Linked DNA regions of Daphnia pulex. The protein of the gene in region 1 purifies or fractionates together with the protein of each later gene. This does not show direct contact. Links are inferred from orthologs where the notes say so. Each region holds a gene or a part of one and is shown on either strand. Other genes may lie near its edges. The genes, in order: tetratricopeptide repeat protein 4-like, protein HGH1 homolog and erythroid differentiation-related factor 1-like.

Region 1 (4,392 bases):
ACTTAACAGCTTCTAATTATGTTGGCACATTCACTTTCTTCCTCTGTATTAGGATGCTAAACTAGTTTCCTGAGCGTAAATAAATGAAAAAGGTTAAGTGTTAGGCTACTGAAAATCAATAGAGGATAGAAGAAGGAAATTTAAGAAGGTGGTTACTTGCAATTTAAGCTTAAGATCGCTGCTGCCGTTGGAAACATCGCGAATTATTCTACTCCATTTCTCCAAAGAAGACGAATCAGCTATAGAATTCACCCAGCTATTTGAATCTATGGCACATACTGGTCGTTTACAAAGATGATTTCACCAATTGAGTCTGCTTGTTGCTACTCCTTGTACACCATAGCAACTCGTCTGTCCCTTCGTCACTATATAAAGTCCATCCAGCATCCGAAGAGTATCAGAGTGTGCGCCTACATCATCCGGTACGGGAACCTCGTGCGATCTACTCACCTCCTTTCCTCATCTGGTAAATAAAGAAATTTATATTTGTCATTTTCTGTTAAAAGCTTATGGTATAGCAGAGTAGATGGTATTGTTATGGCAAAATTTTATAGTTTTACTTGAAATGTCATTTTGAATTTCTAAAAAAAAGAGTTCTTTCATAATTTTGCAATGTAAAAATGGCATGTTAGTAATTTCAGTTGTTCGTCGTAGTTACCCCATCTCATTCCTGATAGCGGAATTTTTTTTTGCACATTTCAATTTCGGTAAAAATTAAACCTTGATACATTGAAGAGAAAACTTTCACATAGCATTTTGCTTCGTTCGAATACTCAACTTGAATTTTACTCTAGATCACTCTAGATTTACGCTATTTTTCCTGTTTAAAATTTGATACTATTTGAAACGATAATTTGGTCACGGAAATAATCAGGGCGTTCATTTTTGCCATTAGTGTTGATTGTACGGAGATTGTAACGCGTTTTGATGTTCTATGACCCTCGGCTTCAGTCTATCCATAAAATAAGTCCAGTGTCGTGTGGGAAATACAAAATAATAACTCTCGGCTTGTTGCGCAACAATGGGTTTTGTAACTTGACAGAGGACACCTGGGAATTCCACCCCATAAGAATAGAGGAACTTAAAGGTTCTTTTATCTTGCGTCAGCACGCCAACACGTTTTCCATTCACGTATCCACAGGATTCCCAAGATGACGATCACGTAATGCTTGAAGCAATTTCAGTTTCCTAATTTCAGTTTCCCTCGAATAGTGTGATGACCAAAGGTTTTTGGGTATGACAATGCACTTTGGAAGTCGCTTTCTTCTGGTAAAGGCCAGAAAATAATAAGGGTGTCTCTCGTTAACTTATCTAACAGGTTTCATTAAAGCCGTATAATATTAACTAACATAGTATTTCAAGAAGTCGTAACAAAACAAACAACACATCGGTTTTCTGAATTTTGATTTTTCACGTCCTCTTTTTTTTCTGTGAAATCAAACTAACCCAAAGGCTTATCAGCTAGACACATTATAATATCTAGAAATGAGGCCGATCTAGCAGCAAATCCGAGGCGGGTGATTTAGTATTAGCAACTATACAAGGCAATATGAATAAGAACAGTTACTTTGTCACCTATTTAAACGTGAATATGACACATTCGCAGCAGGAAATCGAAAGCGGGAGACTATATGGTTTTAAATATTCAGAATTTTGATAAGGGCCGAGGATTGAGAATAAAGACTAGGGTAAGTCTCGCTATGTGGGTACCGTCAGATTAAACTAGAGCCATCGCCCTTTATTCTACTTTGCCACATATAGAAATTCGAGTCTGTTATAATTACTGACCTGGGCTCTGTCTGATCAGATTCAACCCCAATGCAGATTTGGAATGTTAAACACCCAATGTTATTGTTTTAGCAGCTATCTATTAGCTATCTAAAGAGGCATTTTAATTGATAAAAACCTGTTGCGTCATATACAAACGCCATCAAAACGTGACTTGTGATAAAAACAAAATGTTTTACGCTTGAGTATAGAGCAGAGAGAAAGAAAGAAGGAGGCGGAAAAATATGAGGAGGAGTTCTCTCTACCGACAATAACATGGTGAATGGGAATAACCAGGTAAGAAAGGGCTGTAATCCATCGGATCACCGGGGGGCAGAATCACGTGACTCACCTACGCACGCCTAGTATAAAAGTGGAGGTTATTCTCGTGATTACTCAGTATTCTTACAGTTTTAAAATACTTCCTTTACTTTGAACAACAAAGAGTGTCAGTTCCCTTTCGAGAAATCAAAGAAATCAAGAAATCCCACGTGCAAGCGAAGGATTTGCGAAATTAACAAAGGTAAACAGAAAATTCTGCAAATAAGAAAGTTAATGCAACCGGAAGCGCCTTTTTGACGGCTTAGTCTACAATCAAATTTTTCTAGTTAAATATGTAGTAGTGGCACAATCTGTCGCCAATGAGTGACGCGAGTCACAATTTTCTTAATAATAGATTAACTTTTGGAATACGAATTCGTGTTCTGATCTAATCGTCGATTGATGAGCTTTTCTGGCTCTTCTCTGACAACAACTGACAAGAATTTAACAGCTGGCTTTTTTCTGAGAAGAACTAACAAGAATTTAACAATTGGGAAATAATATTAGTTTGTTTTCAACTATTTACTTTTGGCTACATTTCTCAACCAGAATTTTTGTTCACAAACGATTTCAATACTATTACCCAGAGTAGAATAGCTGTCTCAGACCACAGTCAAACAGAGAAGAAAAATACAATCAAATAGAGGATTTAACTTACCCAAAATTGAGGTGTCCATATTGATTTCGAACCGATTAACGGTCCCAATAAACTGTTTGATCGTGCACAACTTGTTGGTTCGGTAGGAGAGATGACGACTGGCGATCAGGCGAGAAGCAAATTTTGAAGGTGGTCGCCACACTGGCGACAACGTGGCGTAACGGAATACAATTAAACTAAGAGAAGGGACTTGTATGGAAATCGTCACCAAATTCATATAATATTTCCATGCTGCGTGATTGTCTTTTTATACCAATGATTTCATCGGTCAAAAAACACGAAAGATGTGAAAAAAGATCAAGGACTCCCAAGAATTCGTGCATGTATTATCAAATCATATGTGCTATTTATAGTATCTAATTTCCACCGCTAGATGTCCAAGGGAAGAGAAATCAAACAAAACGAGGGAAAAAATAGAAAATAAAGGGGGTAAAGTATAACCGATTGTCGTATTGTCATATATGCTACACCCCCTTTTCAGTATTCCCCTAATTGGTTTAGTTCATTCGTTGTGTTCTGTTCCGGTTCCGTTGCACCGCGTTTTCTCCAATTTGAAAGTACCCCCTAACTACATACTTCTCCATGGAATTTGTGTAACTCTAAAAATTAAATTAGCATCGCACTAGCCGAAATCAGTTGGCCACTCAGTGAAAAGTGGAAGCTCAATTTAATCCTGTTTTTACAATAGCTATGTATAACACAAACTTGATCGAGAACATATCCTCCCCCATAGTTACTAGCCTTTTCCTCTTTCCCTAATAGAGGAGGGTACATTTGTCCTTCAATAGAATGATGCAAACTCATAAGAAAGGGAGGAAGAGGTTGCAAAATTTTCTCCTGTTACTCCCCATCCGACTATTTGAGCCGCTCTAAATAGCTGGATCATTTGTTTTCACAGATCGAAAAAGCTCTAGGAGAACGAAGAAAACCATGGCCGCAGTGCAGCAGAACGGACGCCAAACACACAGTTCCTACTCCATTCGATCTCTTTTGGGCCTAACCACTTTATTGGTGGTTTTGCTTGCCATTCTTCCGTATTATCCAACATCGGCCATGTCTGCTTTATCTAGCGGTCATCACTCCTTGTCAAAACGCTCTTTCTTCGATATCAATTGCAAGGGGCTATACGACAAAAGCATTTTTGCTCGTCTCGACCGCATTTGCCAGGATTGCTACAGTCTCTATCGCGAACCCGAGCTTCACACACTGTGCAGGTAAATTAGTTTTTGTTTTTTCTCGCCGTTTAATTTTGTCCTTAATTGAACTTGCAACATTTATCGAACAAAGATTCAACACACATTCATTTGTTACGACTGTAAGATTATTAACTATAACGCAAGTGTGTTGCAACTCTGTTATTAGGAAGAATTGTTTCACCACCAACTATTTCAAGGGCTGCTTAGATGCCTTGCTCATCAACGATGAAAAAGACATTCAAAGAGTGATGAAGGATATTTCAATCATTCACCAGATTCCAATTTAAAAGAGGGCATACTGTCCAGGTATAATTAGCCATCCTTCAGCAGCTGGTTTGCCAGTCCATCTTTGCTTTTCGGCATATGTTTAATAACCGGCAAATTATTCGTGGCATCCGTTTTAGCTTACTCCGCTTTAATATCAACAACTCTTTTTCAAGGCCCAACAAG
Region 2 (3,286 bases), about 2.6 Mb from region 1:
TGATCAATATTGATGGGTTTTTAAGTTTTGGCGTTTTAGCGATAGAGTCCCTGTCAAGATTTTTTGAAATTTTCGCCCAAACAAAGAAGCGTCTGCTAGCAAAACCAAAGACAAGAGCTCACGAACGACAAGAAAAGGGAGTTAAAGCAAAAAGGACTTCCCAAGTCGAAATCAACTAGTGATGGGGTAACATTTCATATCAAGGACTATTTGATGAGCTTGACGTGGGGTTTTGCTTATGCAAATCTGCATCTGCAAACGATTATTTATTCCATACAGACAAATATGGCGAGAATGCTTTATTGCCTTTGACTTGTGTTTAAAATGGCGAGGGATGTCGGACATTTTGGCAAAAAAAGAAGAAGAAATGCTTGTGTAGGGAATCTATCTATTCATAGCACGTGAAGGAAAAACGTGACTGGTTCGCAAAAAGAAAAAACTATCAAGGTCGGCGAATAAATGTACATAAATTTTAGAGCTTAAATGAACCGTACGGGTAAGACGCCACCCTCTAATCTTGCACACACTAGATATAAATAAGAGAATAATCAAGGTTACAAACTTACCAATAGTTGACTGGTGGCGTACATGCTCCAGGATCGGTTTCGATTAATGATTTGATAGCCTTTTAATCATACCAGCATCAAATGTTTACCACACGGACTTGGATTTTTTAGGGGGCCGCCATGTTTGGATGAACCACTACACTAGTCCAAGGTTGCCATTGCAAACGAAATGGTTACTTTTATGGTGATACATTTCACTCTGCGACTCTGAGAGGGTTTCCTGTTTGTTGATGGATTTCTTACAACAGCGGTTGTAACTTCTTATCATCCTTTGCAATCTAAAAGACGCAGAAACAGATGAGGATAGTTTCATACCAACGAAATCGACGAAAACACTTATATTTACATTGCAAGCCGTTTCAATGCTGGGATCGAATATATCGTAAATTTACGAGAAAAACTTGCACGATGTTCAACGATAGCCATTTAAGAAGCGGGGTCACTCAATAGCTATTTTGCATTTGCCCTTTGGTCTTTGGGTTTTTCGCAATTTTGTTTTACATTTTGAAATAACGTGGATTCAACCGTCACTGACACAAGCCAGTCAAAACTAAAAATGATAAGTAATGCGCCTACGCCATCTAGATGTCAGATTTGAAATCACGTATATAGAAATCGTCTGCTGTTGTTTGAAACGTCGTTCGGCACATGTAGTTCATATGGAATTGTTGATGTAAAATGTCGGAAATCGAAGAATTATCTCAATTTCTTACGCTAGAAACGCGACTAGATGTTAAAGCTCTAGCTCTTCAACAGACGCTAGGTATTTATCCAAATATTGTAGTATTAATAAGTATTTATTTTTTGTATTATGCGTGTATCATAAAGGATTGACAGGAACAGCAGATGGAAGGCAAATGTTGATTAACACAACCTGTGTTGTCAAAAATTTATGTAAACTTCTGAATGATTATCAGAAATCTGTTGCGAAAGATGCTAGTTTAGCTCTCATCAATCTGTCTGCCGATGAAGATTTGACGTCAACCCTAGTTACAGAAGGAACTGAAATTATCGAAAACATGTTGAACATCATCACCAATCCAGAACACGAACTTGCAGACCCTGCTTGCATGGTGTTGTCAAACCTTTCACGGACAAAACTTGGAAGTGAAAGGCTATTCCAGACTATGGGAGAAAAATTAGAAAAATACATTGACATTTTCTGTCAAGAAAAATACAATAAAAAAGGTGCCCGTCTCCACTACCTTGCAGCTGTATTTTCCAATTTGAGTCAAATTCCAGCAGTTAGAAGGTATTCAAACCAAAGTACTTTTTGACAAAATTATTTTTTTTTTTTTTTTACAATTTTACTACCTTTTTTCTAGTTACATATTAGATCCATCAAGAACTTGTCTTCAGAGGTTAGTTTCTTTCACAGATTACAAAGATTCCACTACAAGAAGAGGAGGTATTCTCGGACTTATAAAGAACTGTTGTTTTGAAACTGGTAAGATGTTTGTCAAAAGTAAACTGTTGTACAAACCTACAAATTAATTCTAACCTTCAAATGCAGACCACCATGACTTTTTATTGAGTGATGCAGTTGATTTACTCCCAAAACTACTACTGCCTCTAGCTGGCCCTGAGGAATTTGATGAAGAAGATAATGATAAACTACCTATCGATTTGCAATATTTGGGCGAAGAGAAAACCAGAGAGCAAGACCCCGACATCCGTAAAATGCTTTTGGAGGCTCTAACTCAGGTACCATTATTACGTCCTTGAGTAGAGTTTATTAAAAGACTTAGCAAATGTTTTAAAAAGTTATGTGCCACAAAATATGGGCGTGAATACCTGCGCTCCAAAAACACTTACGTCATCTTGCGTGAACTTCACAAATGGGAAAAGAACGACAATGTTTTAGCGGTTCTTGAACATTTGGTCAACATTGTGATTAGGTATTATATAGTCTGTAATTATTTTTTCATGACGCAGTTAATAATTAGATCCATAAAAAATTTTAGGTTTGAGCACGAAATCGGTTACGACAATCTCAAGAAAGAAGTTGAAGTGCCCGAAGAAATTACTGAAAAATTTAATGCTTTAGAGCCCGCTTTGTGATCCGCTTTATAAGAGCACACCAATAAACTATGGTTTATCTTGTTATTTATTGAGTTCAGAGACAAAAAGATTAACACTGTACACTTCATATAATTTCTTAATGGCTATAGTTAAACACTTTGTTATTATTATTTTTTATTTTTTTTGTCCTTACTCGCTTTCGATAAATAGATTAAACCGCTCCTCATCGACGTCTCTATACTCAGCCGTAGAGATGCGGGAGGCCCTGTTCAATATTACACCATTCCCATTTTTTATTGCCTTTTTTTTTGTAAGAAGGAAGAAGAATTAATATCTTGAAATGGGGTTAAGCATTTAGCCATTAAAAAAAAAAGGAAAAAACATGTTCGTGGCCCATGTTTATGGTAAATAACCAAGCGAATTCTCTAATTCACTTCGTTTCGAGAACCCATTCTTAGTATTCCGGGCTGCGCCTCGATAATGCATCGAGCTGTAAGCGTCATCAGTTGAGAGCTCCGAGGCGGTATCTTCAGTAACTTCGCTATCGTCAATGACAATATCGGTTGTTTGGTTAAGCTTGATATTCGAAAACATGGCCGCTATTTCAGTCGTCTTCTTGGCCGACAACGCACCTTCCGGCACTGCCTTTGTGACGGAGCGGTGATGATGTTGACTATGGTGAGTCGAACCAGCTGATG
Region 3 (4,112 bases), on another chromosome or scaffold:
CTCCATCAATAGTCGCCAATACTGTTGCTTCCACTCGTTTTGTGGTTCCTTGAACATCAGTGAGCCAGTGACACCACTAGATCACAAAGATAATTATTAGTCAGACATGTGGGGAGAAACTACTTGAAGATCAATTAAATTAATTACTCGAGAGGAGGTTGTTTTAATGTCTGATATGGCATCGGAATGGGTTTCAATGGTGTGGCCAAGGAGGGTTCTTCTTCAGATGGTTTTGTAGTTTTCCCCCTATTTATGGAAAATAAATATTATGTCATTCCCAATTCAGATATTTGGTTTAACTCACTTGTTGCTGAGGAATTCAAGGGCTTCAACTGCGTGCTGAAGAGCAAAGGTGCAGCGCTGTTCCCAATTATCTCCAACGGTGGGTCGCGCATTTCTACGAACGTTCTCTTCCTCTGCCTGGACCTGTTGCGGAGTCGAAAGTGCCGCCACGTCGACAGATGCACTGTGAAGCAAAATTTTAAAGAGGTGAATTATTTAAAATGTTTCAACTGTTTGTTACGACACAATAAAATTACGAGAAGTGATCTTCCGTTGAGGGTTCCTCCCATTCGTCAGACCATTCCTCTTCGACCTCTTCAGAAGTATCTTCGGCTTCTGGAACTTTGAGTGATGTTGGCAAATAGACGTCAGATAAATAGTACAAAGCAGACGTGGCGACCTAAAAAATACGCATTGAACCTGACATTTAAAAAAAAACCAAGAAATATTATTAAAAAATATTGCTACCTGTGGATATTTGGTTGCATCAAGAAGGGATAAGCAGTTCTTTAAAAGAGCTAAGACAGTGCCTTGATGTCGCTTCCAGTCGCTGGACATTTTCAAATTTCGCGCCACTCTAAAAAAACACATACGCATTCATTAAACAATTTACAATTCGCATTGGCAAACAATTTTACTTGAAAAGTAGCATGGCAACTGGTGTCGTAAATGGATTCTGGTTGATGTCTTCATTCAAATCATTGCACAACGAAGTAAGATCGTAAAGCTTCACAATATCATCGTCTTTTGCTGTTTCACGATGAAGACACGAAAAATTTAATGTGAGATCTTAATTTGAATAATTTCCTTGATTGCTTAAGTAAAAATTATTTTACCTTTGAACAGCCAATAAGTGTGGCCGGCTTTTGTGGCTTTAGACTTTAGGAAAGAGAGAATGTTTTGTGCGACATCTTTAATAATACCCGGCTTAAACTGCGATCCCGGTAGGCGTGGTAAATCGTCCGTTTTAATAAGCTCGTATTTTTGGACCAGACCACCTGTAACCATTAAAAGAATTTAACAACAATTTTTCCAGTTTTTCACGTAGCGCGACGCTATTTACCCAAATGATAGCACATCACAACTTCAGGAACATTGCCTACAAATATAATCATTAAAAAACTCGGTTACAAGATGTTAAACAAAGAAATAGCAGGTATATGACATACACATCAAGTTGTCAAGCCAGTAGTCCAGTCCTGTTAGCACATTAATTGGCTTCGACATATCTCTGATCAATTGACAAAATAAAAGAATTATTCATTTTAGCTATCAAGTAAATTTGCTTGACTTAAGGCTTACCTTAAGCGAAGCGAAAGACACGGGTGAGTCCCACCGCCAAAAATAGGCATATCTGTACCAATTAACATCCGCAAATCTTCAAATGTCCATATGATATTTTTAGAAAACTGGGGAAGAGCATCATCGTGAACATGACTTTCTTCTGGAACAGGATCACCAAGAGGATCAATTACAGGCTGGAAAAGACTTGTGTTACTAAGAATTCAAATTATAAGCACTTTAAATAGTACACAATTTTACCTGAACTTGATGATTCCTGTCCTGAACTTGGGTGTCTGCATTTTCTGACTCATTAAGGGCTATACTGTGATAGAGAAATTTTGAGATGAGGTTTTGTTGCTGCAGGTAGTCGCGACTGTGCCGGCTGGATTTCTTGTCTGAGGCTTTTTGCTTAGCACGACAGGAGGCAAAAATGTGTTCCAAATAAAACTTCTTCAGCCAACCCCATTCGTTTTCAGCTGCTCTCAGAAGGTGAGTGTGGATGTCAAATTCATCGAGCAGCAGTGTGTTTCCAACACGATGAACCATCATACTGACAGCACTTTTGCTGTACGGTATCTTCAGAAGCTTCTTGATATTTTCTGCATCACTCACCACATCAACTTCACCCATGGAATCTAAAAAAGATGAAGCCATGTGAAAACTGGCAAATTCTGTTGACTTTGGATTCCTGGAAACAGCTGGCCCAACTATCTTCTTAGGATGACTTAGCAACCAATTAGCTGGTGGTGTGTTCAAGTCGGTGTTGCTCTGTAATAAAGATAATCGTGGAGGAATACTGACTGTCGAATGCAAATCAAAAGCAAATGATTTGATTCTCTTTCCTTCGTTTTCATGTTCAGAATCTTTGCTAAGAAGTGGACGATAAATATCAATCGTCAAATCGTTCGCAGGGCTACTCATCTGCAATGTTCTCTCCTTTTCGTCGTCCTCTTCGCACGACTCCATAATGTCAACTAAAAAAAAACGACACCCGACACTGCGGGAGAACTCAATCAACACGTTTTTCCAGTCAATTCCAGCACTTTCGAAGGATCAAAACAGTCGGGTAATAATAACAGATGCCTCTTCTTGCTAGGCTGACTGCTATTATTAGACGTCAAGTTGGCGTGAAGCTTTCTTCTAGAATGCTCATTCCTAGTAGTTTTATTTGATTGTCTTACTGGCAAACGAGTAATCATGTTTGTTAATGCAGGGAATAATAATAATTAGTAGAACAAATATCCGTTGTTATGTACTGCGAATATCTACAAGCCACCAGGGGATGTTGGTTCCGTTTGTTTTACAACCAAAAGTTCCAAACTGCTGCGTTGAGGCCGAGGCGGGGACTATGAACAGCGCAATCGCTATAGAACTCACCGGTTTTTTCCTGGACGGAAAACTCCGGCGGAGCAGTGAATAGTGTAACATCTCCACAGTCGGTACACTCATGTTGCACAGTACCGACAACGAGAAACACGCCTCCAGTTTTCCTTGTGTTACCTCCTCCCATTGATTGAACTCGAAAAAAAAATTATTAACAACACATTTACGTCATGATTCACCGACTTCGTCGTCAATTGGCCAGTTGAGAGGTAAGTTAATATGGTAAACTTGCCTGGATTCCGTCCAAAATTTTCGTTTCTTTTCCTCTCTATCTCTCTCGCCTCTTTTTTACTGATTCTAACAAATCAACCGACGCTCATCAATTAGTCCGTCTATTTGCCAGGAAGCGTAGAAAAGGGTGGAGGGGGGCACCTATACCACTGTGTTGACGAGCTACGTTACCTAATTAAGAACTCGGGAGAAAAAACAGAAAAAAATATGACAGGAAGCAACAGCCAAAAAACAAAATAGCAGACGGCCTTGGTGAGAGCATCCGACTGGATCGTTGAATGCGGAGACTTTCAATCTTCCGGCATTATGCGGCATCAGCCAGGGAGAGAGGTGGTCCCGCCGAGATGGCTGGAACGCATGGCCATTAATAAAAGTTCAGTCTCTTGGAAAGCCATTCTAATCAGAGTGAGTGCCTTGAGAAGTCTATACGTCATAGGATCGACGTTGCGTGTCCTTCACGTCGACTTTTCTGTCAAGTGCAGCAGAGAACGGACACAGGAGTGCGTGGGAGGAGGGCGGTCAATTCACGACACGATCAAGCGCGGCCAAAAAACCGATTGAACTAAACTCCTTAGGAAAATCAAGGTAGTAGTTGTACAATATACACACACACAAGTTAAGACAAGCATATCGACCTCCCCGAGCTCTCTCCCACTTTGTGATGATTTCGTTTTATCTATCGATTGAGAAAAAACGGAATGGGCGAATGAAAAACTCGGAACTTGTTAGATGTGGCACGAGAGGGGGTCACGCTGGATGGCAAAAAGAATAGGTCGTGCGCCCTTTATTTTCTGTTCTTTCCGCCCCGCCGAGTCCAATCGTCCCCCCCCCCCCCTTTGATACCTCCTGTGTGTCTGTGTGTGTATATACGTGAGGTTAATCACAATCGTCAGTGTAGAGTCTAGGCCTTCCGGGGGGAGTGCTGGATGGCA

What was found.
Region 2: the proteins of tetratricopeptide repeat protein 4-like (region 1) and protein HGH1 homolog purify together in Homo sapiens (co-immunoprecipitation; 4 studies listed by BioGRID and IntAct, counting the BioPlex papers as one, with this or other methods). This does not show direct contact. The link is inferred for Daphnia pulex from reciprocal best matches to the Homo sapiens genes TTC4 and HGH1.
Region 3: the proteins of tetratricopeptide repeat protein 4-like (region 1) and erythroid differentiation-related factor 1-like purify together in Homo sapiens (affinity purification with mass spectrometry; 3 studies listed by BioGRID and IntAct, counting the BioPlex papers as one, with this or other methods). This does not show direct contact. The link is inferred for Daphnia pulex from reciprocal best matches to the Homo sapiens genes TTC4 and EDRF1.

Annotation. Positions count from the first base shown.
Region 1 is NC_060022.1:2,730,261-2,734,652, forward strand, and holds the start of tetratricopeptide repeat protein 4-like, read right to left. Parts: upstream 2,877-4,392; 5' UTR 2,747-2,876; intron 2,130-2,746; exon of another isoform or gene 2,034-2,129; intron 467-2,033; exon of another isoform or gene 464-466; 5' UTR 305-463; exon of another isoform or gene 240-304; 5' UTR 157-239; intron 70-156; 5' UTR 1-69. Other genes in the region: crustacean hyperglycemic hormone-like, read left to right, coding at 3,677-3,960.
Region 2 is NC_060022.1:5,339,499-5,342,784, forward strand, and holds protein HGH1 homolog, read left to right. Parts: upstream 1-1,175; 5' UTR 1,176-1,244; coding exon 1,245-1,329; intron 1,330-1,394; coding exon 1,395-1,818; intron 1,819-1,891; coding exon 1,892-2,013; intron 2,014-2,079; coding exon 2,080-2,270; intron 2,271-2,330; coding exon 2,331-2,464; intron 2,465-2,530; coding exon 2,531-2,627; 3' UTR 2,628-2,672; downstream 2,673-3,286. Other genes in the region: bromodomain-containing protein DDB_G0270170-like, read right to left, coding at 2,988-3,286.
Region 3 is NC_060026.1:4,183,501-4,187,612, forward strand, and holds the start of erythroid differentiation-related factor 1-like, read right to left. Parts: upstream 2,884-4,112; 5' UTR 2,533-2,883; coding exon 1,825-2,532; intron 1,761-1,824; coding exon 1,585-1,760; intron 1,514-1,584; coding exon 1,452-1,513; intron 1,382-1,451; coding exon 1,346-1,381; intron 1,281-1,345; coding exon 1,119-1,280; intron 1,033-1,118; coding exon 921-1,032; intron 860-920; coding exon 751-859; intron 683-750; coding exon 540-682; intron 467-539; coding exon 305-466; intron 247-304; coding exon 148-246; intron 77-147; coding exon 1-76. UniProt on the Homo sapiens protein: Transcription factor involved in erythroid differentiation. Involved in transcriptional activation of the globin gene.